4 linked regions of the Drosophila melanogaster genome follow. The protein of the gene in region 4 interacts with the protein of the main gene of each other region in a pairwise test. Each region holds a gene or a part of one and is shown on either strand. Other genes may lie near its edges.

Evidence for each region.
Region 1: the proteins of Bbd (region 4) and CG17819 interact in a two-hybrid assay, tested with the Drosophila melanogaster proteins (one large-scale study listed by BioGRID).
Region 2: the proteins of Bbd (region 4) and c-cup interact in a two-hybrid assay, tested with the Drosophila melanogaster proteins (one large-scale study listed by BioGRID).
Region 3: the proteins of Bbd (region 4) and Hecw interact in a two-hybrid assay, tested with the Drosophila melanogaster proteins (one large-scale study listed by BioGRID).

What each region holds. Positions count from the first base shown.
Region 1 is NT_033777.3:21,881,880-21,889,171, reverse strand, and holds CG17819 (uncharacterized protein), read left to right. Parts: upstream 1-3,621; 5' UTR 3,622-3,636; coding exon 3,637-3,777; intron 3,778-3,839; coding exon 3,840-3,974; intron 3,975-4,032; coding exon 4,033-4,269; intron 4,270-4,326; coding exon 4,327-4,374; 3' UTR 4,375-4,444; downstream 4,445-7,292. Other genes in the region: CG6678 (uncharacterized protein), read right to left, coding at 1-333, 394-469, 618-1,137, 1,581-1,665; dnd (dead end), read left to right, coding at 2,030-2,032, 2,756-2,884, 2,948-3,079, 3,138-3,413; fit (female-specific independent of transformer), read left to right, coding at 4,741-5,106; CG31465 (uncharacterized protein), read right to left, coding at 5,273-5,943, 6,001-6,231, 6,290-7,292.
Region 2 is NT_033779.5:1,828,961-1,836,256, reverse strand, and holds c-cup (calcutta cup), read left to right. Parts: upstream 1-3,691; 5' UTR 3,692-3,802; coding exon 3,803-3,833; intron 3,834-3,890; coding exon 3,891-4,465; 3' UTR 4,466-4,630; downstream 4,631-7,296.
Region 3 is NC_004354.4:9,607,324-9,615,992, forward strand, and holds the start of Hecw (hecw ubiquitin protein ligase), read left to right. Parts: upstream 1-1,622; 5' UTR 1,623-1,974; coding exon 1,975-2,368; intron 2,369-2,427; coding exon 2,428-4,883; intron 4,884-4,958; coding exon 4,959-5,125; intron 5,126-8,669. Other genes in the region: LysRS (Lysyl-tRNA synthetase), read right to left, coding at 1-244, 306-969, 1,099-1,229.
Region 4 is NT_033778.4:20,530,425-20,538,376, reverse strand, and holds Bbd (bombardier), read right to left. Parts: upstream 4,133-7,952; 5' UTR 3,852-4,132; coding exon 3,785-3,851; intron 3,724-3,784; coding exon 3,053-3,723; 3' UTR 2,542-3,052; downstream 1-2,541. Other genes in the region: CG13423 (uncharacterized protein), read right to left, coding at 197-1,084, 1,146-1,688; CG30154 (uncharacterized protein), read right to left, coding at 4,722-4,855, 4,925-4,985.

The sequences.
Region 1 (7,292 bases), on a different chromosome or scaffold from region 4:
GGACAGGTCTTGGAGCTGCCTGCCAAGTTGACCGTGCTTGCACCAACCACTGACCCATAGCCGCCCGCATCGGCGGATCAGCAGAGTGTGACGAGATCCAGCAAACACCCTCAGCGGTGCGCAATCATCGTTGCTCTCCCCGCTTTGGGAGCAGGCACATTCGGGCAGATCTTGCAACTGGGGCAGCGGAAATACAGTGGGCTCTTTGAGGACGCCACCGGGTTTCATCACACGCAATCCCAGCTGACCGCTGCAGTTGAGGCCCCAGGTGTAGAGGTCTCCAAAGGCGGATATGGCCGCACTGTGCCAACCACCGGCAGCAATTTGAGTTATCTGCAAGGCACTTGAATGTGTGACAGACAAGATAAGTGGACAAGTCAAATATATATATACCTTGATCCCCGCCAGCGCCTCCAGCAATTGAGGCGTCTCCTCCACTCTCAGTTCCGCCAGACCCAACTGTCCGCGTCTGTTAATTATGACATAGAAGTGAAAAAAATTGTTAGGAATTAGAATAAGAAACTCGCTAATATCTAAATATCTTAAAACCAGAATATGTAAATATTTATAGGCTGCATTTCTGCACAGCCAACGCATTCATTATGACCTTTACTTACAGTCCATTTCCCCAGGTGAACACGTCGCCATTGGCATTGAGGAGCACGGCATGTTCATGGCCGCATTGGAGCTGCTTCACCCGAAATTGGCGCTCGGAAAACTGATGCAGGCAGCTGGGAATGCTGTAGACACAGTTTTCCGAACTTATCGCTACGTTTATGTGCGATCCACATGCAATATGCTCTATGATCGGCGACGAAGGCGCCTTGGCAGCCCCAAAGATAGAGCGCTTTGTACCCGAATTGGATCTGGGAGCAGCTTCTAGTCTAACAGCCACCAGTTCCGCTTGCAGTTTTGGTTGCACCCTGTAAAGCTGACCGCTTTGGAGTAGCACCAGGCAGTGGGAATCGGCAGCGGCAAGGGCCCTTATGTTCCCCGTTGCTTCCAGGGTCACGCACTCATTTGGGCCATCATCCAAGAGCCCACGCAGGCACAACTTCCGGCCAAAAGCGAGGGCCGCATACCGCCAGCCGATCGAAATCGTGCACTGGTTCTGAGTCGAGACTGGCGCATTTAATTCTGTAATAAAGGCAGAACTGAATTAGTACACATACATACATACGGTGGAAGCCCCCTAAAAAGATTTTGTCTAAGTTATTAGTTTATCAATTTCATTGCTATGTATGTATTTGGCCAATCAAAAAATGCAGTTGGCACCAAGTACCGATGTGTAATTTACCCTATAACTGTCAATTAAAATGCAGTCTATATCCAATGCATGAATATGAATATGCAAAGAATTTTATGGATTAATGTCCTACGTATATATTCACCTGAAAATCACTATACTCTATTTTAAACATGAAATCTTAAAAATTCATCTGGCTTAAATCGGATTCAGTTTTATAAGATAGAATTAGAATTGTAAAAATGGTATAAGCTGCATGCATCCCAGCGAGTTCTATAGCGAGTGCCTACTGTAGCAACTAAGTGATCGGCGGCTTTTGTTGCCGGTTACAAACCGCTGAAGCCGGCTGCGCAGTCGACGTCGCCGCTTACACATTCATGCTGGCCAAATGCGTTGAAGCCCGTAAATAGCAGCGGCATCTTCTTCCCGTTCCCGTTCCAATTCGAATACCGCTCGACCCGCACCCCCACCACGTCCCCCGTCTAACAATCCTTTGCAGCGGTTGCTCGGCGACCGTTGGCGCTGTTGTTGTTGCTGTCGGAATTTGTTAGAGCGTTGAGCGAATTTTGTTTTCAGTAGTTGTGCAGCGACGAGCCAGTGATGTTGTGTTTGGTGGTTGAAGTTGATCCAATTCTCAAGTTATCCGACTTTTCCTGAGTTGACCACCAGAAGACACCGTCTTGGGCGGCCAGAGCAGATTGCCGAATCGGGGGGATACAGATACGGATATAGTGGTCGGAGATCGCACCGCCTCCTGGCTGTTATTCTCGCGTTAATTATACGATGGTAGGTTGTCTCCCGGTTCCGTAACAGCTAATTAAGTGCCTTGTTGTTCCGTAATTGCACGATTTGTTTTCATTTTGCGATCGTCGCCATGGAAACCCGCCTCAAAAACTATACAACACTTTTTTGTTAGAGCAGAACTTTTTTCAGCACTACTTCGAAAGTTTTAGGCGCGTAATTATCGGTATTCGAAAAAAAAAACCAAATTGGTGGTTCGGAAAACAAAGAAACATAATAAGCTTTTTGTAGCACACAATGGAAAAAAGAGTTCTTAATTTTTAAGTGAACATGGCAAATTTTTTTACCAATAAACATTTTTATTTCATTCAACCTTGTTGTCGTTTCTTTTGGCGAGCCCTTATCTCAATTCCAACAATATGTTTGTAAAGTTCACCTGTTGATAAGCTTTTTGCATTCTATCACTAAGAGAACGTTTTAATTGCAAGTTTTTTTTTTACAACTTTACATCGTCTTTATTGATAACAACATTGATAATAACAAAACATGTGTGTTTACAAGCATATGTTGCATTTATAAAAACACATATATTTATTAACAATTTTACAAGTTTATAAACTACCAAATGTAGATTGTTATTCAAAATTTCAAAGATAGACCAGAGGATACTACCGAGTCTAGACTAATACTGGTAATCAGGTGCTAGAATAACACACCTTCAAAAAACTAAGTAGAAAAAACAACAACTTAATAGCTTACAAATTTTAGGGTCTGCTATCGCTGTTGCGTAAACTGAGACCCAATCCGGAAAAGGAGGCTCGCATCCTGCTCCTAGGATTGGATAATGCTGGCAAGACCACGATACTGAAGCAGCTGGCATCGGAGGACATAACCACGGTGCGTATAAAGGCGGCGAACTTCTTCCGTTTTCCCCATAAAATACGGAGTGAAATCCCGCAGGTAACGCCCACGGCAGGATTTAACATCAAGTCCGTGGCAGCCGATGGTTTCAAACTGAATGTATGGGATATTGGTGGTCAATGGAAGATACGTCCATATTGGAAGAACTATTTTGCGAATACTGATGTGCTGGTAGGATTGTTATAGATCTAAACTCAATTCTGTTAGCTAATAGTTTCGATTATTTCAGATCTATGTAATTGACTGTACAGATCGGACTCGCCTGCCCGAGGCGGGTAGTGAACTATTCGAAATGCTCATGGACAATCGGTTGAAGCAAGTTCCCGTGCTGATTTTCGCTAACAAACAGGATATGCCGGATGCCATGAGTGCCGCCGAGGTGGCCGAGAAGATGAGCTTGGTGCAACTGCAGGGACGAACCTGGGAGATCAAGGCCTGTACCGCTGTGGATGGCACTGGACTAAAGGAGGGAATGGACTGGGTCTGCAAGAATATGAAGAAGTAATCTAAATTATAGTAATCGTCGCCTGTTAAGTTGTCCCTAAGAACTAAATATACGTACCTACATTTCAACTCACCAAAAGTATCACAATCTCTAATTGTTGGATGAATCTTCCTTTTTTCACGTGTATCTTTAAGTATAAACTGAATATATAGTTGAGAAGGCTATGCTAGTTAAATCATTCATTTTTACCTGACATCTAAACTGAAATCAAATTTCGATCCCCATGTGTTTTTACGGACCTGTTTCGTTCATAAAAAAGATCCTGCCCGCAGGCTCTCAGAAATCATGTCTGCTCATTTTAGGATTAGACAATGCGGGAAAATCCACGTTGACAGACCGCCTGGCGGAAATTTTCAATGGAGAAGTAAGGCCATATATGTGATGGTCCTATCTCCATTTGATAATGTTAGCATAAACTATTTGCAGTCCAAGGAATCTAACAATCAAGTTAGTGAATGGAGCTTCACCATAAATAATTTCAGAGTCCAGTTGTGGGATATTAACGGAGAACTGAAGAATCGCCAGATCTGGCCAAAGTATTATAAGAAAGTGAATGTTTTGGTGAGAGGAGAACTTATATAGAACTTATATAGACTCGACTACAATCCCTGAACCGTAGATTTTTGTACTGGATAGCACGGATGCACTGCGGCTAAGCGAGGCGCGATGTGTTTTATGCGATGTTTTGATGCACCAGGAACTGGATAATGCTCCGCTGCTGATCGTGTCCAACAAGAAGGACGCCTCGGGATCCCTGTCCATGTCCACGGTTATCGATTTGATGGGCCTATATCGCCTAACTGGTCGAGATTGGACTTTTGAGGAATGTTCCATGCGGACAGGGTCTGGTGTTCAGGTATATGTTGTGTTCTATATTCGAAATCTGATAATTTAACTTATACTATCTGGGTAGGAGATCGTAAATTGGATTAACGAAAAGATCAACAATAACAGGAAGTGATTTATCACATTTTTATATTTTCAAAAATTTGGCAACCTATTAACTAATATATTAAATATATATTTAATGTAATTTAGCAACAATAGTTTGTTACACTTGTATTATAGAAATTATTTGCCTCAAATAATGATTCATTTAGTTTGCTGATCGGCAAACACTCTTTTAATTAATACATTAATACAGCCATTTGCTAATCAATGATTTTTGACATTGACCTCTGTCAATAATTGAAAAACTCGTGGCTGAGTAGCAACATTGTGAGGACAAAGCCCTTTTGCATTATCAGTTATTAGTTGTTGTTGCTTTTGGGGCTATAAAAGGGTTAGTTATAGAATTGACTGGCACAGTTTAACAGCGATCGTTGAAATGAACTCAACTCTGGTGATTCTACTTCTTTCGGCTCTGGCTTTGGTGCAGGCCAGGAATATTCGTTGGTCTGAGGAGGACAACTCGTCCCAAGGTCCAAGTCTAAGCCACCCGCATCCGCACTCTGTCAACTGGCCCTGTGATGTGGGTCACTTCCCAGAGGCATTCATTCTAATGCACAAGGTGGATAAGCGACTGGAACGAATTGACAACGAGAGTACCAAGAAACGGATCGAGAACTACGCCGTCAATCAGTTGAGGCAGTGCATCTTGGATGGCCAGATGGACGTGCACTGCGTTAGGCGTTCGATTGGATACACCATGTCATTCATTCACCACCAAATGAGCCAGGCGAATGGAATGTAAGCTCACGACTTGGTGATCAGTTGATATAATTTAAGGACATTCCTTTAGCCACCTTTTTTTTGCAAAATGCATTTTAATAATCAAATCCTTTCAAACGAACTAATTAGTAACAAATTATCAAAATAAATTAAGTTTAAATAATAATTAATTTAAATTCAGCTTTGTCTTATGGGTTTGGATTCCCATTCGTTTCGCGCGAAGCTTGAGGAGCAAGCTTGTGGCACTTTTCCTGCTCGGCCAGCTGGCGCTCCTTTTCCATTTTGGCGAACTTGCTGCCCATATAGAGCTGCTCCTTGAATCGATTCTTTCGCCGCTCATCCATACTGTATCGTCGTAGCATATCCCGTCTGTCCACAATCGACATGCAGATGTCCTGGCAATCCCGCGACGGCTGGCAGAAGCTCCACGAACCGAAAATGGTGTCCACACAGCCGCAGGTGCGACAATAGCCAACAAAGTGACCGATCAGATTGGAATTCGCCTTGCGGAAGGATAGAGAAAGTGGCCCGCCCAGGATCATCATAGCTTGTCCCGAGAAATACCAATCGGTGAGATTATCCAGGAGATCGTGGGCCCTCGGCGGCACTGTCTCCTGCACACTAATATTTAGCTTAATGCCATGGTAATTGGGAGTTTTCAAGTCGGCCGCATCCTTCAACTGCGTCCTGTTCATCTTGACGCACTGTCGTCTCGTCCTGCGATAGGTACGACCTTTGTGTTGGCTACAGGTCGGCTTTTCCGCTTCTTCGCCATCTGAATTTGTTGGCGGGGTCTTGATATTTATGCGAATGCCAAGGACTTGAGATTCCCAGGATCCGTTTAGATCGCAGGGCGCACCTGAAGTTTTAAACTTTATATACATACATGAATCTTAGCTCTACCACCTATTCTTACCATCAGCTGGATCCACGAAGCAGCAGGGCAGCTTTCTCTCCTCCTCCTCTTCCGACGATTGATTGCTTGACTTGCTTGCCTGAATGCTCTCCAATCGTTCCAGGATCTTGTCTAGAACCGGCGAAATCCCCAGCTGGTCCTCTGGCTGTTGATGCGGCGTCTGTGATGGTGGACTTGGGACTTGGCACATGATCTCTGATCCCTTTCGGAAACTACTTCCGATCTGACTTGCTTTTACACGATATTCATAATTTCAAATAGATTTACAGCGATATACTCACTGACTTACCTGATGGTATGCGATTGGGTGCATATCTCAATCCACCATCGGCTGCATTTTGACCGGTTCCCACAATCCTTTGAGCCACCTCCAAAGGTGATAGATTCATTTGAGTGGCCATGGTGTCAATGACATTACTACCGCCCAGCTGTGATGGCTGATTGACTAGCACTTCGGGAAACGGTGCTTGCAAAACGTGGCCAGAAACAGGATTATTCATGAATATGTTCCTTTTCATGGGTATCCTGGCTGGATTTTTGCCCCTCTCCAAAACCTCCTTCCACCAACTTTGCTTTGTTTTCAACGCCTGATTGAGGTTTTCGATTTGCTTCTGATACTCATCCACCAAGTTAAAGAATGAAGATTGCTTGATGGCCTTCAAGCCACCTATTATCTGTTTGGGATCGAGTCCTGAGAAAACCGATTGTATTTTTGGAACACTCTCCATCACTTTAGTTTCGATTTTCGTATTAAGTTTAGAGCTAGTTACTTTATCGGGCTTCTTTTCGGGGACTACATTCTCTTCAATGGTCTTGCTAGATGGCTTATAGTGCGGCTTACTCTCTGATTCTTTCTTAGGTGATTCATTGAGACCAGGCTTTATCAATGGAATGTCATTCCAAACCAGCTGACGATTTTTGGAGTTTGGTAGATAATAGGGCTTAAGACCGCCGTTCTGATTACTTTCCTTGTTCATTTTGATAAATGTGTTCAGAGCCTTCAAATAGTTATTGCCTTGGCTCGGATTTTCATTCGAAAAGCAGCTTTTAGTTGGGGTCTTACTCTGTGGTTCCTTACATTTTGGCGTTGTCGCTTTTGGTTTATCACACTTATTGCTCGTAATTGGTTTTTCAATGGGAACACACATCTTGGTTGTGGCCTTAGTTTCTGGTTCGTCACACTCAACAGTAGTCGCTTTTTGTTTATCACACTGACTTGGAAGGATGTCCTCACTGTTCATCCGGCGACCCGACTCGCTATCCGAAGGATAATCCGTTTCACTAATGATATG
Region 2 (7,296 bases), on a different chromosome or scaffold from region 4:
GTTCATCTCTATACATATGTGTTATCTGTATTTATTTTCCTTTTCGCCGGCTTCTGCGTCTGTTTGATGTTGCGGTTGCTTTGGTTTCCCCTTTATTATCATCATTATCGTCATCAGAGTGACGCACTCTTGGCTGCGAAATGCTTTTCATTATGCGCACTAATGTCTATGGCCTTTATGTCTAATGCGTGCATAAGGACCCACTCTTAAATCCCGACTTGGCCCTGTTTGCACTGCGGCATATGTACTTATATATACAGGGGCATGTCGGGGCACACATTATGCGGATTGGGCCGGTTTATTTGTATTTTTCTTGGCTGTGGATTATTTTTATCATCGCTTGTGCATGTAATTTATTATAATGATTTACACATTAAGTATCATTAAGCCGAGTGCTCGGCTGTTGTGTAAGGGCGTATAAATTGCAACTAATTGTTCACAACGCGGCGTATGCGTGATATATACGCAAAACTTAAATGAGGAGAGCGCAAATATTTACACGCACCCACACACCCGCACTCAGCACAGTTATTAATAATCCTGGCAGCGTTTGGGGAACTTAAGGCAAATTCTCATCGGCACCTTAATGAGCAACTTTTCCAGCGCCAGTGCCTGGGTGGTAGCGGGTGGAAAATGATTGCGGAAAAGCACCCAGCCCGCACGCAAAACTTTCGTACTCATCAATTCGAAACTAAGAGGAGAATTTCGCAGGCGTGCATGATATTTATGCCTTGGATTTTGGGTATTCCCCCTACTTTCCCTGGGAGGTTCATTAATTTTTCGCCAGCTCTTCGTTTGCAATTATACAAGAAAACTTTTCGCAGCCAGTTCGACAGCCAAGCCAACGGATTGACAGTGAGATATTGATTTAATGCATTGCCAGAACTCGTCGGATTTCTGTGTGCTTTTGATTTATTTGTTAGCCGCCTGGGTGAGCGGTAAAATCTGCCAAAAGTTTTGGCATAAAGTGTCAGTCTAAAAGGTAGAAAAACACTAGTAGAGCACTGAATTTTGCTTTCCCTTATGAGTACTAAAAAGTGCAGAGATTGCTTAAAAATGTTCATGTCATTTGATTATAATCCTGTAGCGCATTTTTGCCTGTGTAACCGCTTATAGTTCCACTTAAAACCATCTAAATGACAGTTGTTCCCCAGGCAACTTTGTCTGCTAAATGCTGGCATACATCCGATATTTCGCTATCAGCCACCGAACACACAGCCACACGAAAAGCATTAAAAATATGCCAGGCATAAAAAGTGTTCTACCATTCTGTAAATTTAGCACACAAAGTGGGAAAACTTTCGATTTTTGTGTGGGCCATGGTTGGGAGGTTATGAAAGATTGGCACCTCGTTTTATTGCCCTAGTTTTCCCAGCCCTTTTTATCTATATTTTACTATTTTTCTGCTTTTTTTTTTGTGGCTGGCGCCTCCTGCACCTTGACACTTTTGCAATTGTCGCATGGGAATATTTTTTCATTCGTTGTTATTCTTGCTCAATTTGTTTTTGTGTGCCCCCATTGTTTGGGCCCAGTTTTGTTGATTTTTATTCTCGTTATTCCCCTATTTTTCTGTACTTTTTCTATGCTTTTTCTGTACTTGTTCTGCACTTTTTATTTATGGTTAGTGCAGCAAAATATTTCAGCATCAGGCGTATAACCAAAGTGCCGAGTGTGAGGGCGGCATCGGGCCAAAAACTATGTGGGTGATTTTTATGGCTTTGCCTTGCCTCTCAGTTCAATGAATAAATCATTGGACGCCAAGGGGATTGGTTGGGACTTTGCAATATGGAGTGGGACTCTCTGGTAATGTTTGATAATATTTTATGGAAATATTTGTACTCGTTTTGGCTTTGAATAAATGTGTTGAGAGTCGTACATTTTAAAGAAGTTTGGTAATAATTGAATGTTTCAATACGACCGGAGCCAAATGAACAATTGTAAATGATTCAAGGAAACCCCTATTTAAGTTGTTTATGTCTGAACCCTTTATCGTTTCCCTCTTTTTCAAAGTCTATCCCATTAGCAGAAAATCCCAGAACCTTCGCAGGCCTGCAGCAAAGTAAACTAAGCAAATCTGCTGGCATTCTAATCCTTTTGAAATTTGCTTTAATTAACTCGAATAATAAGCAGCATCCGCATACTTTGTACTGCTCCTTCTGCCGGAGCCTTTTTATCCTGTTCGTGGGCTTATGAGCTTTGGCACTTTGTGGTTGAAATTTTGTGATTCCTTTTTTTTTTCTGGCATTCGGATTTCCGACATTTGCCAAAGCAAATTTCAGCGGAGCGGGACTAATAAGCCAAACAAGAGACAGTGGAAAGGGGGCGGGAGGAAAAGGGGCGCGGCTGGCAGACAAAGTTAATACGACACAGCTGCCCTCGCGGTTGGTGGGCAATTGAAAAGTTTATTAATAACCCGCAGAACGGCAGTGGCAGCCATACGAACTTTAAAGAGACTGCTGCTCTTTTTTATTTGTATGATTTTTATTTTTAATTAAAAGAAGGCAAGGCTGAGCGGTAGCGAGTGCGGTCCAAGGGATATGTAATTACATTTGAACAGCATGCGAAATATGTTTTAATTTATTAAATTAAAATAAGCGAAAAAGAGCTGGAATGAAGGAAAAATAACAAAAACACGACAACAGGCAAAGGAAGCAACCAGCCGCAAACCGAGTGCCCAAAGCAATTTGAACCAACGTCACACGCGGCGTATGCGTAATGTGCTCGCAACAAAATCAACGTTATGCAAATTTTAATGCGAGCATAAGGCGGAAACGAAACGGCGCTACGCTTGCCAGTTTCTCCTGAATCCTGTTACGAGAATCGCCAGGGTATTGCCAGGGCATGATGGTGCCACATATAGTAAGTCATTCAAGCTGACCACATGACAACACTTGGAAATGTCACTATAAGCATAATAAATAAATACTTAAAATATTGCCAACATTTCAGTGCACAGCGTAATTTATAAAGCAATAATGCCATATTTTATATAAACTACTATTGTGGGAGCTCAATTACCGTAAGAGCCACAACAAACCAATTTCAGCTTTCCGAGCAATTGAACAATCCGAGGGTATCGTTTAAATCCGACCCAAATCAGCGCAGGACTCCTTCGTCCTGGCAGTCGCCCTGCAGTTGTACTTGTATTTACATAAGCGTCCGTATGTATTTCTCCCAGAGCACTCGCCTGGCGCAAAATTACACTTTGTTGGCGAGACACACACACTCACATGCTCATACGCACACATCGTGGCGCAAAAAATTGTAATGAGCTTATTAAGTCATATTAAAGTCCAAGTACAGCCAATTTGATAAAAACAGCAACTGACAGCAGACTGGCAATGTTTTCATGCGACATTTTTTTACGATAGCATTTGGCATTAATGGTAATAGCAAATGGCGTAGACACACGCTGTAGCTATGTACGTTACACTCGAAGAAAATCAATATTTTAATGAGTAAGCAACCAAAAGGGTTGATGCACGTATAAATAGATGTTGAAGAAATATATAAATAATAACTTAATAACTTTGTCTTGCTAGAAATGAATAGTACTGAATTTCTTTAAGTGCATGTAATTTATATGACTGATGTAAATGAGCTCGGCAGCAGGTGGCTTAACATTTTTATTCGCTCCGCACTGCGGTAAATTGTTGTTAACTCGGCTTAATTGAGTATGATCAAATTGCCGCTGATTTTGCACTCGAATATATTTCGACTGAACTTTCAAAATTCATGAAATGCTGAGCACGAAAACAACTTAAACAGAGTCAATTATATAGTTTATGGAAAAGTCGTAAAAATGCCGATACTTGGACAAATGTTTCCTGCAAGTAAGTAATGTTATTAAGTAGTAGATAATTACGTAACGCACTCACTTCATCCTCTAGAGCTGGGTCCCAATTTGATGACAGCCTCCAAAGTGCTAAAAAGTCCTCTTGGCCAGGCGTTAGTCTCCTTTTTGGTTGGCTACTTTGTCACCACAAAGTTGTCGCAATTTTATGGCAAATTCAAGAGGGACTCTGAGAAATCCGATGAGTCGACGCAGTACTTGGACATGTACCCCAGGAAAGAGAGTCAGCCAAAGGACACCAAAGGACACGATATCGTTCTGCTCACTCTGGAGGAGCTAACTGCCTTCGATGGCTCGAGTCCCAGTCTACCCATTTACACCGCTCTGAATGGCCTCATATACGATCTGAGTCCGGGCCGAGAAAAGTTCAGCAGTCACGGTCCGTACTCCCTATTGGCCGGTTGCAATGCCAACAAGGTCCTGAACATTGCCTGCAGTTCCATGGGCGTCTGCGCTGCGAACGTAATAAGTCGCTGGGAGCAGAGCCTAAGAGCCGAATTTAAAGTCGTAGGATATTTAGTCGATGCTGATATAGATATTATTAGCGGTAGTCCAGTCAAACATACAAATTCGGCCATAGGGGAGCAAATGGAGAAGAGTGATATCGTTTAAGATGCTGTGAATATCCCGTTTTCTTAGCTTGGCAATAAAATATTATTCACAGAAACTAGTAATTTACTTCCAAGCTAACTGAAGGGGATATTCAGTGCAACCACGGACTAAAAATGCGTTTGGAAAAATTACATGTAACTTGTAGAATAAACAAAATTATTGAAGATATCTTTTAGCTTCATGAGCGAATATTTTCCAAAGGTTTTAGGTTGCCAAACAAATGATCGACTATTTCTTTTACAATCTCCTCCAGCCTGAGATTAAATTAATTCTGTCCTTCTTTTTTTTTGCCGTTTGACCGAGCTCTTGGCATTTGGAAAGCCGGAAAGTTTTTCCGCCTTTGTCTTGCGCTTTTTTCCCCAGCGGTTCGGTTCGACAGGAAAATATCGACAACGGCAAATGTCGATAACAACAAATTGTTTGTCGTGTTTTCCTTTTTACTTGGCACTTTTTGCCCATCAAGCTGTTGACTTTGTCAAGTTGTCGCCGAATTTTCAGGGCTTCGGGGTGATTCGGGTTTCCCATTGTGCCGGTGTATGTGTGTGGAAAAACTTTGCGCCAAACACGCAATTGACTTAAATTGAATTGAAAGCTGAATTCTGAGAGCTGAGAGCTGAAAGCCAAGAAGTGACAAAGCGGGCGGGAAAGCAGAAGGAATGCCGTCAGGTGCTACACAGCTAATAAAATCAAAATTACTTTTCGCCAGCGCAAAGTTTCGTCAGTCGACGTGCTTAAGGAATTTAAAAAAGTTGTCCAAAAATTGTTAAGCACACACTTCAAAATCAGTCAAATGTGCAAAAGGACAACACACACTCAAGAACAACATTTGGCAAAGTGTTATTTGAAGTGTCGAATTTAATCAAGCGCAAAGGTGACAAAAGGGCTCAAAAGTTAACAACAACTAGGGCCAACAATAACAAGTGGAAATGGTTCTTAAAAGGTGGCGAAATGGACGAGAGCAGTCCCCTGCAAAGATGGAAGGACAATGTCCTGGAGTGGCCCATTTGCATAAATTGTTCGCACTTGTTTCAGCTTTTTATTAGTGAAGCTTTATTTATACTTAGTGAAATCCGATTGCGATTGGGTAAGTAGTACTACAATAAAAAAAATCCATTATGCTAGTCCGACCAATTAAAGTTTTAAAATGCTGCTTTAATGGATCTTCCCCATTGGTGATAACAATAATACGGATTAAGGTAATCATTCATTCGCTTTTTAAATGACCCTTTTGAAATGAATTAACTGAATGGATTCTTTGTCATGTTGGCAATTCATTATATGTAGCTCCTTAAAATAAATTTCCCGTTAGCCACGCCCCGAAACTTGGCCAGTTATGGTATCCCATATAATTGGTGCCAAACACTGAATTTATCACCATCTGGTTGTCATGTGCAAACGATGCTCTAACCCCCACTTTGCCGGGAATTTGGATGGGGAGACCTCCCTCCAGTGTCATTCGTTCATTTTAATGTTTTACGTGACCCATTCGAAATCGAATCGAATAACTCATTAAATGCAGAACGCGCCAAAACAGGTGGTAGGGCTAAAATCGGGGGGAAAGGTGGCCATAAGAGATGTGTTCTAGGTGTAAGGCAATTAACCATAAGAGCTTATGTCGTGGAACGTGCCTAATTGCTGGATGAAAACACTAGACGAATCTGGATTTCGGTGTTTGCGCAGGGAAATGCAAATGGCTGTGTGAGTGCGGCAAACAATTAGTTTTCCAATTTCGAAACTAAAATGTTGGCAAACAACACAAATTAAATTCACTCAGTTGCATTCCGACTTTTCGAAGTCTGGCCAAAAGTTTACTTTGCTCTTTGCCATTCGCTGCTTGCAGGAGTTAATTTAATTAGTTTTCATTTATCTAAAGTACACGCTTCATTACATAATTTAACAATTCATTAGATTGAGCCCGGCTTCGTGGTAATTGAAAAGCGCGTCACGCTCTAGCCCCCAGATTTTCCAACGCCTCGATTCGCCACGCCCCCTCCGCAAGGCATGCACATCAGAGACCGCCCCTCATTTCGCAGTCTGGTTTTTATGTTCACTTTGTTATTATTGCCGCCAGACAATTGCTAATGGTCGCTGTAATTATCATTAAATGGTTCGCTTTCTTTTAATTCTTCACCCATTTCTGCTTCCACCTACCAATCTCGGCACTTTTATCCTTTTTCCCGGGAAGTGGGAACAATGGCTGCGGCCCAACAGCTGCTGGCTACATTTCAATGTGTTTGTGAAGGGATTAAGCTGCACTTGGCTCCTTAATTTGATTGCATTCGAGAGTGATTTGCCATTCATGGACAATTATGGGTAAGTGGAAATGTGGAACATCCAGCAAGGAAATTGTAAGTGAAATGTGAAGGGATTTCTCGAGGCTTAACTGAATCCTCAAGATTGGTTTTTATTCATTTTACAAGAAATTTGTCTGAGGCTTGCATCCATTCGAAATATGCTAGATAAAATGGTTATATGTCCATATAAAAGACATTGAATTACAATTTTAATTAAACTTGTTTTTTAATTACCACATTATCAGTAGCTTGCCATTTGGTTACATTTTCCATTTTAATGAAAGATATAGGTAAGAACCTCTGGTAAAAACAGCTACCTATGTTTTCCAGCCTTTTCTTCTATTTTCCGCAGTAAGAGGCTTAAATTTGGCAACGAGCTATGCGACAAGTCAAATGTCATGCAACCACTTTGGCAATAATTTTCGTTTTTTGAGGGGGGCTCTCGAAGCATTTTGATGTTTCGCAAAGTCAGAATTTGATTTACAAATGGCACTAGAGGCCCGCCCCGATGGCCAATGGCATTTTGAATTCATAAAT
Region 3 (8,669 bases), on a different chromosome or scaffold from region 4:
GGGTGAGGTCGATGCCCTCGTTGCGGAACTGCCGTCCGATCTCGTACACACGATCGAGTCCACCCACCACCAGCATCTTGTGATACAGCTCCGGAGCAATGCGCATGAACAGATCCATCTTGAGGTCATTGTGATGCGTCACGAAGGGCTTGGCAGTGGCTCCACCGGCGATCATGTTCATCATGGGCGTCTCGATCTCCAGGAAACCCAGACGATCCAGGAACTGACGCACGTACGAGATGATCTGCGGGCAATGGGAGTAGTTTTTGTTATATTCAGCTTAAACTCCTTAGTTCAATTCATACCTTGGCACGGATCTGGAATTTCTCTCGCACATTGTTGTTGAGAATGAGATCAAGATAGCGCTGGCGGTAGCGCGTCTCCTTGTCCTTCAACCCGAAATGCAGATGGGGCAGCATGTGTAGACAGGGCGATAGCAGCTTGATCTCGCTGGGCATAACGGACAGTTCACCCTTCTTGGTTTTGCCGGGATGTCCGACAACGCCGATGATATCACCACGTCGCAATTTGGACGTATCGATTTCGAAATCCGCCTCCGACTTGTAGGACTTAGCGCTGGCCATCACCTGCACCTTGACGCCCTCGCCGCGCAGATCGTAGAAAATGAGCTTGGCGCCCGACTCGCGTATGGCATGCACGCGCCCAGCCACGCTCAGTTTGACATTCTCCAGGGTCTCGCCCTCCTTGAGGCTGTTCTCGTACTTGGCAATGAAGTCTTCCAGCGAGCTACTCACATGGAACTTGTGTGGATAGGGATCCGTTGCGGGTGAACGTTTCAGCTCCTGAACGGCGGCGGAGCGCAGCTTAAAGTATTCATTCGGCGAGATCTCCTCCTCCTCGGCGGCACTGCTCTTCTTCTTGCCAGCAGTATTTTCCGCCGGCGCAGCGGCCGCCTTCTCAGCCTTCTCCTTGGCCTTTTGCTCGGCCTTCAGGCGACGCTTTAGCTCACTGTGGACGAAGAGAAACAGTTAGGGTATTAGCAGACAATGGAGATGTTGCCACAAGGCTGTTATAACCACGCATGGATATATATATATATATATCCAGCCTGGCCAACGGTGCGTATTAGTAACCCACAGTTTGGTCTGCTTGCTTGGCTCCATTTGCGGAGCGCTCACGTGGAAACCGGCGGCAAGTGGCTGAATTCCGGTGTATCTGCATCGGGGCCATGACCCCTGCACGGTTCTAAGGGCGCAGCGGGCGAACATGGTTATTTTAAGCAGCGTATTTCATCAGCAGAACTGCACACATGCAACATAAATAATGCGAACTGGAACGTTGCCGCTTCGCCCTAACCTACAAGTGGGGCAGCTACGTTGACCGGATTTAATGCTTGCGGTCAAATGGATACGCTTTGAAGCCTATGGCACTTACTTCTTGGACAGTTCTCCACTTGCAGCGGCCATGCTGATGCGGTTACGTTGTTCGCTGTTTAATCCCGGGGTCTCAGAAGCGATGGAAACCCAAAAGAAATGCGAATGCGAAAGCGCCACAAAAGTAAAAAAAAAAAAGTACACGACCAGCGCTGCCAGATGGGCATAAATCGATGCAACTGGCTTTGCCGCACCAGATGGCCAGTCTGGCGCGAGGGCATTTTTACGCCATTGACATCTGGTCACATTGCACTAGACCCGAAATATATATTTTATTTAGCTTTTGCAATATCCTTAAATTAACAATTGATCAACTAAAGCCACGGCCTTGCGGGCAGTGAGCACAGCACAGCACGGCCCAGAACTGGACTCAATGGCTGGAGGACGCGAAATGCTCCGGTCGGAAGGCAGCAAACATCAGAACGCCAAAGTAGAGCAACTGCAGCTGTAACTGTAACTGTTAACCCTGGGTTGGTCGCGGGGGCGGGGTGGCAGTGGTGGTTGTGGACCAGGAAGAGGAAGAGCAAGGGTGCTGGGAAAGAGGAAGAGCACATCTTGAGGCCAGGAGGCAAACGAGCCAATGGAGCCACCAGCTGCACCGGTACCCCTACAGCCACTGGCAGCATCTTCCGCCTGCCTGGCGGACAGGAGTCCAGTGGATCCCATTGCAGTCAGACTGCAGCAGGAGGAGCAGGCAGAAGGAGATGACGAGGAGGAGGAGGAGGAAGAGGAGGACGATGATGATGATCCCAAAGAAGAGGAGGCCTTCTACGAGGCGCGCAACGGCAACGAAAGTGACGAGCTGGAACAGGCCTTCCAGAGTGCCCTTACCCTGACCAACGATGTCCATGTGAGTGTCAGCGAAGTGGAGGAACATGAACCGCCCTTGGCATCGAGAAATCAGGAGGTGGCAGAGGTGGAGGAGCAGCAGCAGCAGCTGGGGGCCTGCGCACTGCCGCAGCCCAGCGAAGCCTGTAAGTAACTTGAGACTGACGAGCGAGTTCATCCACTCATCCACTTGGTTCTCTTAAAGCTCTTACAGGCTCAAAGGAGACCAGGGAACCGCGCCACCACCAGACGCTGCTTTCCACCAAATCTTGCGAGACGCCGGCCAATAATGCCACGCTCTCGCCGACCAACTCCTACAATGGCAGCATTGGCAGCGACGGCGGCAGCAGTGTGGGCGGTGGCGCCCGCCGCAAGTCCTGGACCCTGTCGCCGCAAAGCGGTGGCTCCACGCCCCTGAGCGGAGCCAAGAAGAAGACCAAGACGGGTGCGCCAACCACAACACTGTCCAATGCTAATGGCGACGGTTTTAATCTGTGGGTGGCACGTGAGTGCTTCGAAACAGTGCCCGCTGAAATGGTGGATACTCTGAGCATGGCTGAAGTGGACGAGGAGGTGGATGAGGAGGAGGACGAGGAGGCGGCTGCCGTGGAGAGTCTTCTGGGAGCCGCTGCTGCCCTCCAGGCCAGTGCCCATGTGCAGCGCCGTCAGCAGCAGCAGCATCACCAGCATCTTCGCCAGCCCTCGCCACCACAGCATCGTCCGCTGGAACGATCTTGGCCGCCGCGTGCCGTTGGTCGGGATCTGAAGCTTCAGGGCGATGTCTTTCAGTTCGACATCCTGGACACGGACGAGCGACTGGCCGAGGAGATGGCACAGGGCAGTGGGAGTTCGAATAATTCACCCCTGGCCACGCCGCCTGTGCGCTTTAAGCCGCTGCTGAAGAAAAAGATTGGACCCGATAGCTACATCAACACAATTAGCACACAAAAGGTGCCGGTCCACCAGAGCTATGAGTTCCCCACCTTTCCAAGTTCCTCGGCAGTTGGATCGTCATCTTCGTCGCCGAATAGTCTGCAATTTCCGTATCTGCGCCAGCACCGTCCGCTCACCCGTGCCCTTTCCAATGGCAAGGCCAGTTCATCGGAGGAGCAAGCCTCCCCACGCCTTCTGCTCTCACCAAAACGTCCGCGAAGTCCTCCTTCCGGTTGTTCCACGCGCAGTGCCTCTCCATTGGATATCAGCCTGAGTCCAGAGCAGCACTCGCCCACCAGAGGCAGAGGAGTGGGTGGTGCTCTGCAGGATGCGGTGCCGCCCGGAACTCCAACATTCCATGGTCAGCGACCGCAGCAGCGGCTGCTCAAACGTGTAGGCGGTGGAGCAGGAGCTGGTGCTACGGGAGGCGCAACCGGCTCGCCATTGGTATGTCCACCAACGCCTACTCACCATGCCCGTCGGCATGCCCGCCTCCAAGCCGTCACTGCCAATTCCAGCCTCGCCAGCGGAGGAGCGATCCCCTCGGATCCGCCAGCCGTCTCTAGTCAATTGGATTACATATATCTGCAAGATGGTGGCCAGGAGCAGGGTCAGGAGCAGTCAGACGAAGTTGTGCACATAAGCAGCACCCGCCTGCCCTCCATTCCAGAACGCAGTGCAGCCGCAGCAGCGGCGGCGGCGGCAGCAGCAGCTGGAGCCGCTCTCATGGAACCCGGAACGGGTACGGTATCCGGGTCTAGTGGAGCTGGAGCCGCTGGAGAGCCACCATTGCCGCCTGCTTGGGAGGCGCGTATGGACAGCCACGGACGCATCTTCTACATCGATCACACAACGCGAACAACCTCATGGCAACGACCAGGAGCGGCGCCAAGTGGAGGACCAGCAGGCAGAGAGCAACATCATCGCCAGCAGCTGGATAGGCGGTATCAAAGCATCCGACGCACCATTACCAATGAGAGTAGAGCTGCGCAGCTTTACAACCTGCCAACCTCGGCGAATAGTAATGCCAATTCCACAGCTCCAGCTGCTCCTCCGCCCGCCACGGCTATACATCCAGCCATCCTGATGCTCTGCCGCCCGGATTTCTACTCCCTACTGCACACCAACGAAGCTGCACTGGCCATCTACAATCGCAATGCCGCACTAAAGCACATGGTCATGCGCATCCGACGCGATCCGCCGTGCTTCCAGCGGTATCAGTACAACAAGGATCTGGTGGCGCTGGTTAACACATTCGCCCAGATGAGCAGGGAACTGCCCTCGTGCTGGGAGACCAAGCTGGATCAATCGGGCAAGCAGTTCTTTATTGATCACCAGCATCGTCGCACCTCATTCATGGATCCTCGTCTGCCGGTGGAGTGTCCTCGTGTGGTACGCCATCGCCAGCAGCATTCGCAGCAACAGTCCAGTGTGGGCTACTACTATCCGGATCTGGTGGATGGCAACTGCCTGTCCGCCACCAGTGGGCATATTAACGCCAGTCCAGCATCATCGGTCTCCGGTGTACCGCCCTTACCTCCACCGAGACCCTCATCGTCGTCCTCCTCGTCCAGAAGTAGCCATGGACATGGCCACAACTGCAACACAACGTCAGCCATCTCCTGTGCCCTCAACGCCGACCGTTCGGCGTATGGTGCCGCTGGAATGGCCAGCGCTGGAGCCACTGCAGCCGGGTACGAAGATGTGCCCATCGCCTACAACGAAAAGGTGCGTTTCGCGTTTCGCTCGTTTAACAAATGTAAAATCTTGAACTTTCCATTGATTACACATATTTCTTTTCAGGTCATTGCCTTCCTGCGCCAGCCGAACATCCTGGAGATCCTGCGAGAGCGCCAGGGCCAGCACACAATGTCCCGCCAGTTGCGTGAGAAAATCAATATACTGCGAGTGGAGGGTGTTCCCGCACTCGAAAGATTGGGCCATGACCTACAACTGACCATTTTGCTGAGGTGAGTGATCTGATTGCAATAGAAACTACTAGATCACTTAACATGACTATGGATCGTAGCGGAGATTATAGATAGATTGATATCGTCTATATCCAATTCTTGTTCTTTTGCTAAGTCGAATTATACTCGAATTATTCCGCCAGCCAGACAGTTGGAGGTAAACCCTCGGAACTGGCGTGGTGCTAATGAACCCACTGCCATATAGTCCCGCTCACATGACGCACCGTTGGCCGTCAGGCAATGGCTCCACCTGCACTTGACGAAGGTCCCACACCAGGCTAGGCCGTATCCATCTGGCCTGAAATTGCATTGCTGCGTCATTTTCTTGGCTCGAATCAGTTTTCGGTTTTGATTTGTAGCTGCTGGCTGATTCGGTTAGCTTCAATCGATTTTGGCGGCGGTCCTGGTTGAGTGCACCGCATATGAGTGCTGCTAGTGGGTTTAATTGTTTTTGAAAACCGTATCGAAGGTCGCTGGCTAATTTTCCAAAACGCCAAACGCGCGTCCAACAATGCAAGCGGACTAAGCCAACTACCAACGGCAAGGCAAGGCTAGCACTTTGCCATCGTCTTGGCTTTTAATCCCATTGCTTATTGTCTAATTGACCGTGTTTATGCGAGAAATAACACAACGAAATCAATGTACATTTACCACAAAAATTGAGGAACTGCAGCACGTCAATTCGCAATGTAAGTTGCGCTGACCTTAATCTTAATCCCAATCTCGGCGGCAACAAAATGGAAATCGATGTTGAGAGATTAAGTCGCCGCCCCTCATTCTCCCAAACTGTCGATTACTACTCCACCGTTGCTGGCTGGCCACCAACCATTCTGATTCCCATTCCGATTGAGCCATTTAATTGCATTTCAATTAGCCAAATTGTCGCGCTTCATTGGCAAACGAGTGGTGGGAGTTTTTACTATGCAATCGTATTTATTCGAGTGCGAATACTTTGTACATCTGGTTGTTAAAGTTGTGGTAATCATAATAAATTTGGAAGAATCCTGCGAAAATTTGACGCAAGATTCCATTTAATATCTTTAAATATTGCTGAAAATCAAGACGCTTCCTAAAAATTTATAATTTGATTGTATATATTTTCCCCTAAATGAAATCCACTTAAAAACAAGCAAGTTCAATAGAACTTTAGGCAATGATATGCACTACATACAAGAAAAAATCAAGTAATAAGTAATTTGATTAATTGCCGTTTTGTTAATTAGTTCAGCACCTTTTTTTTTAAACGAAACGAATGAGTTAATTTGTAAGTTCATTTAAAGCATATTGCATTGCGCATAGTGACACCTAACGATCTGGTTAGCGAAAGTATTTACACAATCTTTTGCAAGCGATCGCAAAAGTCGGGTAGCCGTCGCACATGTCGCACTTGGTGTATTGGAAATACGGAGCGCACAACTCCGCTACCGAGATCAGAATCCGCAGCCTCAGACAATCTGCACTTGGCCATTAGTCATCCGAGTGGCGATGAGGCAACACCTCGCCCACCCAGCGCCATCCCCCTTTTTTTTTTTTTTTCATAGTTTGAGCAATTAATATGCCCAACAACAACAAGAGTCAACAAATACACGCGTTTAGTTATCTACACATTTCGCCAGTTGGCTAAATGCCTAAATGCTTTTGCCGGTGAATTATAAATAGCTGAGTGGCTCTTAAAATATATACATATGTATGTATGTGCATATATATATGTATGGGTTATATATGTATATTTATTGAGCGATCTTGGGGCATTCCGACTTTGCAGCAGCCACGCCTCCTTTTCGGTGGCAGAGCAACGCCCTTCAGCTTTAGCAGCAGCTGCCCCATAAATTCCGCAGACGCCCCACTAATCCGCTAATGCCCCTCGCCCGGTTCACAATTTAACCCAATTCCAAATCAAGCATAATTTATAGCAACTCCAATTCGAATTTTGAGTCCCGTCCGATTCTAAGTTTTTTCTTTTTGCTTAGTTCTTATTTTTTTTTTTCCGGCGGAGGTGTGGCTGTGCCGTCATCTTCATCAGCAAGTTGTGCTACCTCATAATCATAATCATTATCATTATCATCGGCACCCTCGCAAAGTCGCGTCGTAATCGTCATCGTTGAACTTCAAGGCATTGACAAGTTTACAGTTGGCCTCTTCGTTGCTCTTCTTCCAAGGGGTATATCTAGTTTTCCTAGGGAAATAGATGTCTAATAGATGTTTTTAGATACCAAAAGAGTTTAGTTTAGTTTTAGAAAGGTGGCTTACCCAAAAGTAGTAGATGTAGGCCAATTGAGCAGGTCAAGAACTACTTAAATATGATTATATATATATATACATATTTATCTTCAGTAGAGCATATGCATCTACTATTTTTGGAAGCAGGAAGTTGGCGTTGGAGTTGGCCTAACTGCTGTTTGCCGTTTAAATTTGACCCGTAGAAGGGAACATTCGCTTTTTTTTTTTTCTCAGTTGTTTTGCTGCTCGTTTACAGTTCATTGGGCTTTTGGGCGGATTGCGCATGCGTGCAGTTCGATTGGGACATGGGATCAGCGAGGCATTGAGGCAGTGGAGCCTCAATGGAAACATTGGGGCAGGCGGCAGTCATGGAGAGACACCCAAACAGTGGCCGCCGTCTGTTTGCGGTTTGTTGTGGCTGGCTTCCGTTTTGGGGCGTGCTAAATGCAGGGCGTGGCAGTAGTATATACATACATGAATGTTAGCTCCAGTTGTAAACGGAGTGTGGAAGTGGAAGTGGGAGTGGTTGTCGCGGTGGAGTGATGAGCAGGCAATTATAACCATGACCAACGCCAAACACACTCAACCATCCACATGCCATGGATTGCGATGGGAATGGGAATGGGAATTGGAATGGGAATGGGCATGGGTATGGGCAATGGTATGGGGATGGGGCTGTCGTCGATCGTTTGAAGTGCACTCCTCGTGGGGGTGACTCAATCGCAGTCCAAAACCTAAATACAAAACCGAACCCGAAACGAAGCCGTAGTCATGCCGGCAACAGCTGACTGCCGGTACAGTGGGGCAGTTTTGGGATTTTAGAACAATTCTAATATAGAAGGGATCTTTTGCTTGTAACTAGGAAGTTATAGTAAGCAAGGAGGTCTAATTACATAGTTTCTTAATTTGAAAAAGATTTCGAATATTGAACTATACATGATATCCATCTCAAGACAACCACTTTGTAGCATATATTATCCGTTGAGAATATCATACGTGATATTTTGTAACATACTTTCACTAGATATTAGAAGTTCTCTTTAGTACCATCCATTTCAGTTCCCCAAATCGAGTTCTCAATAATCTCTGTCCACTTTGAAGCAATTCCCTAATCTGCAACCCCCAATCGTGACCACTGTGCGTCAGCGGATTCTGCTGGCACTTCGGCGGCGTCGTTTGGAGCAGCGCTGCAACGTCTCGAGCGACGCCGCCTTGCACGGCGAACGGCAAAGAGCTGAAAACAGAACTCCAGCGGTACGCGGCGATCGAAAACAAAACCAGCGAGTAATTAAATAATTTCCTTTGCCGCTTAAATTGAATCGAA
Region 4 (7,952 bases):
TTGAAATTAAGCAGCGCAAGTTTATTTCACGTTGCCACGCCCACAGTTCGGAAAAATACTTGAAATTTGTCATTGTTGTTGAACTTTCTTCTTGAATTGAATGAATGGATTTAGTTTTTATCTATTCAAGAAGGCAAATAAAATGTAGTAAATGTATTTCTTATGAAAGATTTTTTTTTTGGTTCTAAACAATTTTTTAATTAAGTAATGCGCCCATGGGATCCCAAGCAGGCAGTTCTTTCCATTTATGTATCCTTGCGGCATGTAAAACACCCGATGGGACAAATTTTTCGTGGACTACAATCTCAAAAGCGTACTCCCTTAACCATTCGGCGTCCAATTTGTTATCCGGTGGTTTGACCGACTTCTTTCTTAATGCCTTCGTAACCTTTTCGTCCACATCGTGTTCATTAAGACCTCCGGTGGCGGGAGACTCGCCAATTGTAGAAGCATTTATGAAGCGAAACTGTACGGGCTGTTTCAAGGTGTCCAATCCAACGGATGTAAGGAGCAGGGCTGCATCCCGTCGGGATGCTCTGTAGTCAAGTCTCTCTGCTTTGGTGAGCGACTCGCCCACTTTAAAGCCAAATAGCAAATCAAATTGATGCGATCTCAGGCTTAATGGACCGGACTTCAAACTGATTGCTCTACGAATATCGCAGGCCATCCAAACGGGTTTATCACCTTCCAGAGAAGTCACCATGATCTGCATTATGATGTCCATTGATTGGTTATTATACCTATGAGGTTTTCCGCCCATCATATTCGAGCTGTTGGCAACCTGATAGTTGCTATGGTAGCTGGATGAGATTCGCGGATCGTGACCCAGACAGACAAAGGCGTCTAGATTCACCGTACAGCCTACCATAACTTCGTAGAAATGGACCGCTGTCATATCATTCAGGCACTGGTAACGCTTTTTGTGGTCGTAGAAGGACCAGGTGAAAACCTTGGGAGGTTCACCAAGGCAGATGCATATTACTTTGAAGAGATGCGGAATCATTTCTTGAATGAGATCGGGGAGACGGCAGCCATTCCCATTAAAGGTGAACTGAGCATGCAGCATGCTGGCATATTCACGTAGCTTTAGGTGAAGGAAATATATACATATGTATATAATATTCAGTACAATACAAAATACCAACCTTACTCTTCAGTATGAGGTTCATTTTTGTAGTTCGCTGAGTGGAGTGGAGGTAGCATTTCTTGGGCATAACTCCGTATTTTTTGACCAGATTAACGAACATTTGCCAGTTGCCTCCATCTGGCACTGGGTTCTTAATTAAATTCCGAAAGCAGCGCCCATCCAGCGGTTCGCAACGCATTAGAAGATCGGCGACCGTCCACAGGAAGTAGTTGCATCGCTCCAACTTGTGCCAGAAAAACAAATGTGCGGCGGAGAGTTCAAAGTCCAGTGGAAGCGGCAACTTTCTGTCCATCTCCTGGCACAGCAGGTCCAGGCCCGTGCATATCCATCCCGGACCACCGGTAGTGGCCTTGCCCTGCCTGCTCAACTCTATCCAGGTTTTCACACCTGACGGAACGGAGCATAAGTCCGCCTCGGATCGCAGGCATACAGTGATGGGATCTTGAGCGGTGCACACATTCTGGGCCAGACGATTCATCGAAGACGCGTAAAAGGCGGAGTACCAGGCGGACCACTGCGGTTCGGTCAACAAAAAGCTCATTTTCGTATCTTGACGAGTGATCTTATTCCGAATATCTCAAGTGGTTGACATTAGAAAGCGCAGGAATAGACACTATAAATTTAGACCTATCTTTCGGTCCGAATTCGTTTCGTCTATTTATCGCAATTAATTGGATAGAAAAGCAGTTGTCAAACGCAACGTGTTTGGGCACGTGTCCACTTACAATCGATTATTTATCAATCAAATACCGGATCGATAAAAAAAAAACACATCTCTAGCTGCTCGCGCGCAGTTCGATATTTTTGCTTCACATAACTTGAATACCATTGTTTTCGCTTTTAAGTTTCAGCCTATAAATAAAGTCATTAAGATAAAAAGTTCACCCCACATATCCATCCACTGCGTTCATTCCGCTCATATTAACAGAATTGACATTGAATTTGAAAATGGGAAATGGCAGCGAATCAATCTTCGAAATGGACAACAAGGACACAGATAAGATACTTGGTTTGTACTGACTATGGGTTGCAAATCAAGCTCTAGATCAACCTTACACATTCTGAACGATCCCTCTTACGCCGACAAGCCGCCCAAAACTAAAACTTTTTATATATTTTTATTTGTCTTGTAAATTTCTATCGATTTGCCCAAGTCGACTATAGCATTCTCACTTAACAAATTTGTAGCAGTTTATTAAATATATAACTGTCAACCTGATATAGAAATTTAAGATTTAACATCGATGGAAATTTAATTTCAAATCTCGATTTAGAAATACAAAATAAGCAGAAATTTCGTTCGACCCACCCTAATTCAATTAAAAGCATTTTTCATAAACAAGCAAATGTATACAGCAATGCAATTAGACAATTTGTGGCTGACAAAAGATCAAGGCCATTAATTAAGAATTTATTAAGTTAGCTTGGAAAACACAAATATAAAGAATAAGAGACCTTGGTCTTATTTACGAAGATTCGTTGGGAAATTCCGTCATTTAAATACCAAGAAGTGTTCATAAACACCGCCGCAAGCTCGGTAATTGTATTCCAATCGCCACACGCCCATACAAACCTAGTCTGTTAGGCGATACTAAGCATTAGATTTAGCCGCCCCATAAGCTGCCTATACGGTGAGTTTCCCGCTAATCAATCACATTTGCCGGGCGTCATTTCCCATTAATTGACCTAACCACCCACACGTTTGTGGCCTCAGGCCGGTCAAATGGGAAGATTATGCCCAAAGACGCCTCATGTCTGGGGTCTGTTGTACTTGGATTACACACTAGATATGTATCTTTTAGAACATCTTAGCTTGTAAACCATAGATAAGACAATTAAAGTCAAGACAATTGCTGCAAAGGCGCTTTATTTCGAGCGACTCGTGTACGATTGATTACTTGGCTTCTAATAGAAAATATTTCCCAGGGAATTCTGAAGATCCCTTTGAATATCAGCCATGGTTTTCTGGAGATTGGCGTGCACCTCTTGCTGGATACGATCGGCATAGTTCTTTGCCTCCGCCTCTAATTTATCCCGATTGTCGAAGGATTCGCGATCGCCCAGAAATGTGCGTCCACCTATCTTGGCAATCACCGTATGATCGGCCAGTTCGATGACTATATCACCATTGGAGTACTCCACCTGAGCCGGTTGTCCGTTGATGGTGACGGTTTCCTTTTCGTTAATGCCTGCTGCTTTTGGCCTGAATGTGTACACCTGGCCGTGATCATTGAGTTCGATGGCACCATTTATGATCCTAATACTGCGTCCATTGCTGTTCATGTAACTTCCATGACTCGCATCTCCAACAATGAAGCTATGTCCATCGCCATGAATTACGCTGGATCCCGAGCCACCATTGATGATAACATTGTTATAGCTCCCACCGTGACCATAATCGTGCGAGCTGTCCTCTTCGCTGGAGTCGGCATCCGTGATGATCCTGCGCCCATCGGATCCGATCAATACTGTTTTGCCATCGGGTCCACGAATGATTTGCCCGGCTCCGTTTGATAGGAAGGTGTTTCCATTGTTCTGAAGAATCGTCTGGTCCTCATTTCGCTGTATATTCGCAGCTATAAAAATACAATTTATTTTTTTTCTATCTGCACATACAAAGTATATCTATATATTCACCGCTAGACAGAGAGGCGATGCCGGCCAGCAGGCCCAGTAGAATCCAAGCTCCAGTGTTCGAGCCCATTTTGCATTGACTATGCCAATGCCAAGTGCGATGCCAGCTATTTATACTATCCCATAAAAATATCGGCTCATCGCGCCGTATTCGTTCTATATACTCTATGAGATCGGTTCTCAGTGACAGTGACTCTCGCGCAATAACAGATAAGACGGAGGAGGTCAGCGGTGCAGTCTACCGGGAATTGCCACCGACGGGTTTGTTTTGTTTACTTGCGGTTGAGCGACAGAGGCACTTCGTCACCGGCTTGCCAATTCACTCTCGATTTAGACGGATCGAGAGAGTGGGGGGAACTGTGTCAAATCAAGAACGCTTTTTAGCCAGGCCAAAAGTACGCAGATATGCCATAGAAACTGAAAAGTTGGGTGCGCTGCGATTTGCAACATTCTGAAAAAATTATTATAAAACACGTGCTGATATTGTTATGACGATCAGAATTGAAAAATTCCCATAAGCTCGTTTGCATACTTATCAATAAAATCAATATCAATCAATAGCTTATAATTTCGTAGATTATTTCGGTTTGTTCATTCGATTGCAATATTAGTTAGATTCAGGAAACAATTTCAAAAGCCGTATAAACTGTATCTTCATATTCATATTTGCAATATTAGGCTTTTAATCTCGTTTAAATATTTTGGCTCTATTACATACAGTATAGTAAAGGGTTATATTTAAATGTCATAGATAAAAAGGTGCACAATTAAAGTGACTATATATAAGTGAGTGTGACCATGAATGAAGTATTAGCATACAAATCGAGTACTGTTCGACGAAAATCAATTGCGAAGCAAAGTAGTTGTAAAATTATTCACAAATTTACTGTAAAATCCAGCTTGACTTGGTTGTGGTCACGCCTCTGCCACTTGGATAAATTTAGTAACGCCACTTGCCGCTGTTTTTCGAATGGATGACTATATTGTCGGTGGACTCTTCTCCGCCATTCCAGGCGGGTCCGCCATGGGGTCCAGAATTGGAGGCAGGTCCCCATTTCCACGGCATGCCATGCACTTCACAAATGACAAATGTGGGTTTATAAAAATATAGATAATAGATATAGATATTAGAACACCACTCACCGCTGAGAACGACGAAGCAGAGCCAGAGCAAGAGAACCCAGAGTTGTTGACGTAGGTACATGATCAAGCCGAGGAGTTCCAATGTTCCAATGATGGGGCATAATATGGACACACTTGTTTTATACGGCTCCAATAGCCAAGTAGCGCTCTATCTCTTATTCGAATCGTATCTCTTGGATTGCTTTGGACTCTCGCTCTCACTCCCTCTCTTAGTGGCATTCTCTGTATCTTTATTTGTCCATGTTTGGATACGTGGAGGGATTCGATAATGGCTTAAGCTCTAGCGACTTATGCATAATGCAATTTTCTGTTCTTTGCACTCTTTTAATTCTCATTGAAACCATCGTGCCACCACTGTCGAATGCACTCAGAGAAATTTATGGTTATATACAACAGGATTAAAGTGTCAAAAGTTATTTATTATATTTTACAAAAATATTTTTTTATATTCGCTTTTGCATATAATTTAAAAAGTAAAATAATCCTAATTTACGCCACTAACTAAGTCATTCAGTAGATATTTATTTCAGTGTAGACGCACAATAGCCGGGTAATTAAGAAGTTTCGCCATGTGGCTACGTTTCTAATTATTTTCAATTGAATTGCTTTGCTATACGTAAAACTTTTTCCATTCCTACTGCCATTAAACATATCGTGGAACTGCTCGGTCCCACCTCGGATCCCCGGCCATTGACATTATCCAATGTCCCCCGGCGTCGAGTGGGTTTATCGTTGCTGAGTGGGTGTATATAGCTATCTAAGCTGCGTTGCATCGGGAAAAGTTAAGCTCTCGTCGAGCCAAGTTTCACAATAAAAATTAAACAGGTACTGCATTGTTTGTTAATGACAAGCGTTTCGTTGTTGCTGCTTTGTTTGAGTGGCCATGGATTTGGATTAGTTGGAAAATTGGAGTGGTGGTGGAGTCACTCTGTTCAAATAAAGCAATTGTAAAGTGGAAAATAAAATGCCATTGCTGAAAGTTTGTCCATCACTAGGAAAAACTGAAGTAGTGTGTAGAGCCAATTATTTCAGTGCCTTGACATGTTATTTAGCTCGTTGTTATGCTGAGTTTTCAAGAACATGTCCTGTCAAAATCCAACGATCATAGTTATCAAAAAAATGGTATAAAAATAGTTGAGAAAGTACAACAATACGCTGAAACGTTTCGGAATTTTAAAGATTTAATCAGGCTATTAGTACCTTTCCTTAATCGCCGCTTCTAAACACGACGAGACTGTAATTGAATTCTGGCACTCAAGTGCAGGTTAAGAAGAAGCTTAATTTAACCTAACTGTGTTGGCCTGGCTTTTATTGCCACCTACACTCGTTCTTTATTCAATTTATGTGCGACTTACATTAGCCCAACTGCAAAACCGAGATCAGAAACGTACCCAAACGGCGGCAAGATAAACGACTTTGAGTCTGAAATACGGCTTGTATGCTGGCCAATGGATGTGGGTTTCCATTTTGGGCGATTCGCCCGGGGGATTCCCATGCACAATCTGCGCCTGGTCAAAGGCAAATGTGCGTTGTCCATTGTGGATGCTGTTGTTGCTGCAGTGCGAATCGAATCGATTTGATTTTCCAATCAATTAAACTTTATATAAATTGCGTCTGCGATGCTAAATATAACAACAATTGCACACCGCGTTAGCAGCGACAGCAACAGCAAACATTTCCACAAAGTACAAATAGAAAATAGCACTAGAAGAGGTATTTGTTCGCTCATTCTGTTAGTCGCCCCCTCTTTTTCTATCGTCACTCCCCTCTCTGTCTAACCCTCTAATTCGCTCTCCGTCACTCCTCAATGTCTCTATTAACGGCTGACTGCACAATCACAAAAAAATGTGTTCACTGAGTGATCCCGACTGCACTGAAATTAATAAGTTCATAATATAATTTAATTATATGCTTTGAAATTAAATTTGGTACATATTGAAGAAATATAAAGCAAGATTATCGTTTTATGAGCTAAGCATTTTCTGTAACTTTTAAGTTTCGCGACTTTTTTTTTGCAGTGTACATTTGTCAGTTGGTGGAAAGAGTGTGTCTAGCTATTGGTGGTGGCTGATGAGTCAGGTTAGAGGAGACTGCATTTTGCACGACTTTGACTGCATTTTCGCATTTGGCAAATGTTTTGTGTGCGATTTTGAAATGCAGACGACGATGTTGGGCTGCTGCAGATGACTTGCGACGTGAGCCATTGTTAGAACGGTGTCAGTTGAAGATGATGGTGTGGGTGGTGGTGGTGGAAGGGGGGGGGGGGTGAGCTAAAGACACGGAAAGTGTATTTGATCAATCAAAAATGGAAGCAATCTCCAGTTTAAAGTACTTGCACCAAGGCAGGTGGTCCTAACGAACACAATTAGCCTAATAAGTAAACAACAACTTGGGGCAAAGTGGGCGTCAGCGAAGCGACATTAATTGAATTATTGGGCAAGCTTTATAGGCATTACCTGCACGGGGTGAGGGACATTCATTAATGCTAATTGAGTACACAGCCCACGAATATGTACTTATACATATATATACATGTATATATATATTTGTTATGATCCAGGACAACAACACGAGTGTTTTCAACCGTACGTACACCCATCAAATTACATTCTGAAGATGCAAATTTATTTACACGCTGCCTAATTTGGTTGTTTGGTGATAGAGAGTAGAGAGTAGGCTTTAAGGCAATCTACTCAATCATTTTGAACCAATAAACTAATAAATTAGTTTCTAATTTGATGGAAGCCAATAATAGTTTGCTGTTTATCAGAGATTTAGGCGGCTTAGATTAAGTAGTGAAGACGTCGCAGTAAGACAATGCGTTTATTTGTGAATTAATTGTAAAAGGGATAAATTTAAGCAATATATAAAATATAGGAAAAAAATCAACTCAATTTTAAAACGCATTTTATATCAAATTATAAGCTTGTGTTTTATTTAATTTTAATTTCTGTTTCAAAGACGTACATAGAAAATGTGATTTTCGTTAACATCCGCATTTAATACATTTGCTTTCGCAGCAAAAACA